Linked DNA regions of Schizosaccharomyces pombe. The protein of the gene in region 1 interacts with the protein of each later gene in a biochemical or structural test. Each region holds a gene or a part of one and is shown in the gene's direction. Other genes may lie near its edges. The genes, in order: mug105 and ubi4.

Region 1 (3,199 bases):
TTCTCATGCAATGGTTTCCCCAGACAAATACCATCCATATAATTAGTTTACCAGTAATATAGATAGATTTAGATATGTAAAATAAAAATTAAAAAAATTACTTTAGTAAACAATATCCGAGAGATGTTGCTTAAGTTATAAATTTATAATTGATGTATGCTGTAAAAACTCTTAAGACACTGGTGTTTACTTTAATATACTAAAAAAAATTATTTAAAAAAATCACTATTGATAGTTCAGGTTAAAATGTTGATTTTCTTTAGAGCCAGGTCTTCGGAAGTCCCTTCTTGCATTTTGAACTCACATGTGTTAGTAGGAAAATAAACATTTACAATTATCTATCGTCATATATAATTCTTACAATTAATCGTTTTCTAGTTTCAAATACTAAAAATATTTAAATTCACAGACTAATTGGATAATTAGATGTTTAAAAAAATGTGGACGCTTTGCAATGTACAATGCAGAAAGTGTTTATTTACATTGAGATTCAGAACGAGTAACACGTTACCTAAAAAAATTGGAGGACCCTATATATGCACGAACGTAATGTATTTCACTTGATTGACCAAGTTCAAAGTTCAATGCAAGTATCTTAGTTTGCATTCCTCAATTTTACTCTTCCAAAATTTTAGAGATTAAATGACAAACACGGTGACAATTGAACTGAAAATTGGTTATAAGTATGCTGCTGAGGTTGTAAAAGGTAAGTCAAATTAGTTGCTGGAAATATTACATATCAAAGTCTAATCCTTTAGCCGTTTTAGGTGTAATTCTATTTCATAGACAGTTTTCTACTGTTCCTGCTAGGACAATTGACGTTTTAGACATTACGGTTCCTACTCTGGTTGGTGCAGAACTAAATGAACAACTAGCAACTAAAGCGGCGGAATTTATTGATACCATTCGAAATGAGGCTGGTGCAAATGGTCAGATGATTTTACTGTTGTATGAAAGATCGCCTAAAAAGTCTTGGTTTGGGAAGGGAAATACAATTCCTTGGGAACAATGGATCTTGCACACTACCATTTTAGAAGAGGGTGACTCTTATCAAGAATCTTCTTTATCTCTAGAGGCAGCAGTTGAGCAAATTGTGCAAGCAGTTAACCTTCGAAGCCTTTCATACCTGCCCCCAGTTGCTATGGATTCCGGGAATTACCCGTATGAAATTGTAACTCCTACTTCAACAGAAGGTTGGGGCTCACTGCTGAAGCGAATGATTATAGAAAACGTTAGTGGAGGTGATTAAATCAAATCTCACCAGGTTTGTACTTCAAACTTGATTTCTCATTCAGCATTTAAAATTCTTCATTCACCATACATCTATACGGTTTGGCGACGCAAAGCTCCATATGTTAACATGTTGCTGGAGAATTATGTATCGATGGTATATTTACATGCTACTTGTAATCCTTTCGCAATTGATTATTTTGGACTAATGAAACTTGCATGCGTTAATATAGTACATTCGCGCATGGGTTATAAGAAAGTTGGATTTAGGACGGATGCTGTGCCATTTATATCATGACTTTAATTGACAGCCATAATTTTTGAAATTAGCGTTTGTACTTTCCAAAGTTGTTTTAACAAAATGACCGGCGCATTCTTAATCGACTTTTAGCTTACCGAGATTTAACGTGTGAATATTTTTTAAATTTACTCATTTCTTTTTACATTTCGAAATTTACTATGTCAAAATGCTTGCAGCAGCTTAAACGACAACTTCAGCATTTCGGCATAGATGGATGCTCATTAGCAGATGGTGACATCGATTATTTTTTCACAGTTACCGGTATTGATCGTGGATGGGGCTGTGGTTGGCGCAATATACAGATGTTAATTTCCTGGCTTCAATACACCAATCCAAATTGGTTTAAACGTAATTTTAGTAGTGGAAATTATGAAATCAATTCTTTGCAATCGTTGTTGCTCAGCGCTTGGATGAAAGGTATAGATGCCGAAGGTTATGCTCAATTAGGAGACAACTTGCATGGTAAATGGATTGGTGCTACTGAGGTTTATAGCCTATTTACCGGGTTGTTTGTCAACGTCGCTTTAGTAGACTTTGATTTCAGATCTGAAGCTTCTGCTAGCAATGCACTTTTTCTTTACGTTAAAAAACATTTTGAAAGTTCTAATGATACAAGCAATGTTTCTCCATGTTATTTACAATTTCAAGGGCATTCTATCATTATCATTGGGTTCTGTTCTTCTTTAGAAACTCTTGTTGTGCTTGATCCAGATCGTTATCAGAGTGTTCAAAAAAAGTTTGTGAATATTGCGGACTTTAATCACTGTTATATGCGAAAAAAGCGATCTTTGAAATTCTCACAATTTCAATTGGTACATTTTAAGCAAAACATTTTTTTAAATGATTTCAGTTCAAAACTGGAAGTTCGTTCTACCAGAATTTCGGACTTTTAGCTGTCCAAGCGCTGGTGATGTTTTTCATAATATTTATGAAGGCCGTTTCCCCATATATTAATTTATAGAAAAAGGAAAAACTGTTGAAAAATAATAATATATCTGATTATTCTCTTTTGACTTACTACTATGTAGTATACGTATATTTAAAATTGTTGATAGTTTCTCATATTTTCATATAGCGACATTGTTATTGAATTTAAAATTTGTTGTTTTGCGGTGAATTCGGTGTTTACATCGGTATATCCGACTTTGGCTTCCGAATGTGGATAAAGGCTAAAGTTGTTACCAAAAGTAAACAACTACCAGCCTTGCACAATGTTTGTTGTCAAGACTGCTGTATTATTATTCTTTGCATTATTTATTGGAAATACTTATGCATATACTTATTCTCTGGACAGAATTCAAGCATTAAAATTTAGTTCTGAATCCTCCAACGTTGATGATGGACCACGGCTTCATTGCAAAGGACCAGCGTGTAGCTCGCACAGCAATGATTTGGCTATTTGTCAGCATAACCAACTTAACGTTGCTCCTCATTTATTAAAATGGACTTGTGTATGGCCTAATCAGTCTTCTCATGTAGAAGTAATAGATTATAATATTGAGTGCAAAAAAACCGTCGCCTTGTCCATGGACAGCATTACTAAGACATGCATTTTAAACTATAAGTTGGAATGGACCTACTCTGGAGTATTACTACATAGGCCTTGGAAATTGTTTTCATTAAAGCCATTCACTGCTGCGTTTGTGCTCCTCCTTGCGGCTTCATATC
Region 2 (3,938 bases), on another chromosome or scaffold:
AGACAATATCAGATGATTTTGGAAATTGAATGTTTGATTTGATTCAACATACTCTGGATTTGTTATATGATATGCGCAATAAAAACGCACTATGGCACTTAGTAATGTCCAGATGCCAAAAGTACGACCTTGTAATCCATTGACTACAGATATAAAGTCAGCAAAAAATAATCAGCTAATAAAAAAAAGCATCATTAAAGAGCTTATTATGTGTATTATAAATCAATTAAACTCGTAAAAACCATGATTCTTACCTTCGTTAGTGTTGCTATATACACGCTTAGTCAACTTTGGAGTCAAAAACGATTGAACGGTATTGAAAAGCGCCGCTACACTGACCACAACATTCCATTTGGCAACTAAACTATCTGGGAGCATAGCTAGTATTTGAGACATTGTTATTTCTTAGGATATTAAATTTCTAGTAGTGTGTAGTTGAGGGATTACAGTACTAAATTGGAGAAAAGCGACTGTGAGCAATTTATAACATTGACAGGTTTTGCACTAACTTAATTAGTAAAATCGATGCGAACATTATGTTTTATATCGCTATGCTAAGACAGATTTAGTATAATAAAACAACAAAGTAAGCTTATTTTCAATGTAAAAAGAGATGCTTTTTTACTGAGGTTTCAAAGAGATTTCTTTTTCAGTGCTGATTTCGGGTTGGGATTTACCGGTGAGAATATCCTTACAACTAGGTTATTGCATAAGTAACGTCCCGGTGAATTGTTGACATTGTACGATTGTGATAACTGGGGCTGACTTAGCACATTAGCAATTAGAAAGGTAGTAAGAGATCCTCGTCTACTTATATTTTCGTATATCTTAGTAAAAACACGAAAGGATTCTACCAAGGATCAAATATACATAGCCGAATTGCTGTCCAAAAAATGGCAAGAATGTATACTTTTATTAAGTACCGGCTTTACTATTTTTAATTTACATAACTTGATAGTAGAGTTTTCAAAAATCCAAGTAACCTTAGAACCATAATCAGGAGAATTAATTATTTTAATGATCTTATTGTAAGTAACCCACCGTTTGTACGGAAACACTTATGTAAATACTAGGGATGGGTTGATACTACTTGTACAATTGTAACCTGGAACAGCTCAAAGTAGATGAGTATTCTAATATTTCAGGTTGGCGGTTAACTTATTGATTAGCAAAATATATTATACTCCGTGTGCTACATAAGAAATTAGTAGAATTCCATATGAATAAGAAATCTGCGTTTTAAAACCTAACATCTATATAAATTATTCATTAAAAAAGCATTAAACTATGCTAATTATCGCTAAGAAGCATGAGCGCAGCTTACTCCAAATTCCCAGTCACAAACCTGACCCACATCAAAAAAAAGTATAAACATCAAAATTTACAAAGAGCACATATATCGTAGACCATGGTATCTTTCGGATTATGCTTCTAATGATGATAAACAATACTTTAAGGATGTAAAACGATTTTTAATAATCGTTCGTATTGTCGACTTTTTTTTTATTTTCGTCTTTTAAATCGCACATGATTTTATAGTCTTGTCATTATTTTCTCATTCAACCACAAAGGAAAGCACATTTATGAGCAAATTTCATTCAAATATTGAAATTGGAAAAGATAATGTTGTTTAATTGTTCTTCAAATTGTGGATATCTATTTGAACGGCCTAGGACTAGAAAAATGTTAATTCCTCCTTTGTAGCGACACATCTACACTGAAATGGACAGTAACTCTGCTGATAGAAGTTAGTCGTTATCTTTCCTATTCGTACCAAGCATCTTATCTTTTAAGACATGTTTACTTTTTATTCGTTCGTTTTAAAGTACAACAATATGCTTATTTGACATGGATTTATCAACAGCTACCCAACTACCTATGCACTAGAAATATGTCTCCCAAAGTGTCTGTGCGTAAACAGATATTTATCCTATTTCATTTTGTACTGTTGCATCGTTTCCTCTCGTACTAGTCGTTTTGCAAAGCCACGTTAATGATCGATATGTTTGAATTGCAGACACCATTTCACATTGCGATAAGGGGGATTCCTGTATTTTTTTGGTCACTGACTAATTTTGACACCGAGGTGACATCATATCGTCTAGGAATCTTTGTTGCGTACACAGTAGACAACATGGCATACGAACGAATCGATGCAATGTATATTTATAAACACAACAAAAATTTGAGTGCATATGCTTCAATTTCTATACATAAATGTATTTAGAAAAAACTATCGTATTGGAGATTGTATTTAAATTTTGATTTTATGAATGAGTGAAAAATGAGGAGCAGTGGCGACGTCTATATAAAGGTGGCTTCCCCCCTTCATTACTTTGCATTTGTACACACACAATCTCTACCATGCAGATTTTCGTCAAGACATTAACTGGAAAGACTATTACATTGGAAGTTGAATCTTCCGATACCATTGACAATGTAAAGAGCAAGATTCAGGATAAGGAAGGCATTCCTCCTGATCAACAACGTCTTATTTTTGCTGGTAAGCAACTTGAAGATGGACGTACTCTTTCAGATTACAACATTCAAAAGGAGTCTACTCTTCACCTTGTTCTTCGTCTTCGTGGCGGTATGCAAATTTTTGTCAAAACCTTGACTGGTAAAACCATTACATTGGAAGTTGAGTCTTCTGACACCATTGATAACGTAAAGAGCAAGATTCAGGATAAGGAAGGCATTCCTCCTGATCAACAACGTCTTATTTTTGCTGGTAAGCAACTTGAAGATGGACGTACTCTTTCAGATTACAACATTCAAAAGGAGTCTACTCTACATCTTGTTCTTCGTCTTCGTGGCGGTATGCAAATTTTTGTCAAAACCTTGACTGGTAAAACCATTACATTGGAAGTTGAGTCTTCTGACACCATTGATAACGTAAAGAGCAAGATTCAGGATAAGGAAGGCATTCCTCCTGATCAACAACGTCTTATTTTTGCTGGTAAGCAACTTGAAGACGGACGTACTCTTTCAGATTACAACATTCAAAAGGAGTCTACTCTTCACCTTGTTCTTCGTCTTCGTGGCGGTATGCAAATTTTTGTCAAAACCTTGACTGGTAAAACCATTACATTGGAAGTTGAGTCTTCTGACACCATTGATAACGTAAAGAGCAAGATTCAGGATAAGGAAGGCATTCCTCCTGATCAACAACGTCTTATTTTTGCTGGTAAGCAACTTGAAGACGGACGTACTCTTTCAGATTACAACATTCAAAAGGAGTCTACTCTACATCTTGTTCTTCGTCTTCGTGGCGGTATGCAAATTTTTGTCAAAACCTTGACTGGTAAAACCATTACATTGGAAGTTGAGTCTTCTGACACCATTGATAACGTAAAGAGCAAGATTCAGGATAAGGAAGGCATTCCTCCTGATCAACAACGTCTTATTTTTGCTGGTAAGCAACTTGAAGATGGACGTACTCTTTCAGATTACAACATTCAAAAGGAGTCTACTCTTCACCTTGTTCTTCGTCTTCGTGGCGGTCTTTTTTAATCATCCTTTGTAATTGACTAGTTCAACTTTAACGTTTTTTCAATTGGCTGATTTAGTTATCCATAACTATACAATGCATTATAGCAATATACTATAGCTTTTTGCTTTATTTATGTTGGTATAATATTATTGACTTAATTTAGTATATTCTTAATGTGCGATCCATGTTTGTATTTATAGGCAATAGTGAGACCTGATTTCACCGATGTAAAGTGTTATAGCGTTTGATTAGGGAAGAGGTTAAATTTCGTTGAGTAGTAGCTAATTTCAGCGTTAAACTGTTGTCGTCCCTTACGTAGATAATCAAAGCTGGGCGAAGCGCCAAGCTATATTCTTCTTATTAATTATACCGAACAAGCGTTACTTAATTTATTTATTTCGACGCTTTTCTAAAGGGAATATCTTAATTATTCTATATCTCCTTT

Evidence for each region.
Region 2: of the proteins of mug105 (region 1) and ubi4, one has a biochemical effect on the other in vitro, tested with the Schizosaccharomyces pombe proteins (one study listed by BioGRID).

Annotation. Positions count from the first base shown.
Region 1 is NC_003424.3:2,527,396-2,530,594, forward strand, and holds mug105 (ubiquitin-fold modifier-specific protease), read left to right. Parts: upstream 1-1,679; 5' UTR 1,680-1,689; coding exon 1,690-2,424; 3' UTR 2,425-2,506; downstream 2,507-3,199. Other genes in the region: protein Atg101, read left to right, coding at 643-706, 759-1,249; protein meu29, read left to right, coding at 2,743-3,199. UniProt on the Schizosaccharomyces pombe protein: Deubiquitinase with endodeubiquitinase activity that preferentially cleaves 'Lys-48'-linked polyubiquitin chains. Shows only weak activity against 'Lys-63' and 'Lys-11'-linked chains. Has a role in meiosis.
Region 2 is NC_003423.3:1,043,993-1,047,930, reverse strand, and holds ubi4 (protein modifier, ubiquitin), read left to right. Parts: upstream 1-2,338; 5' UTR 2,339-2,364; coding exon 2,365-3,513; 3' UTR 3,514-3,660; downstream 3,661-3,938. Other genes in the region: Erg28 protein, read right to left, coding at 53-143, 255-396.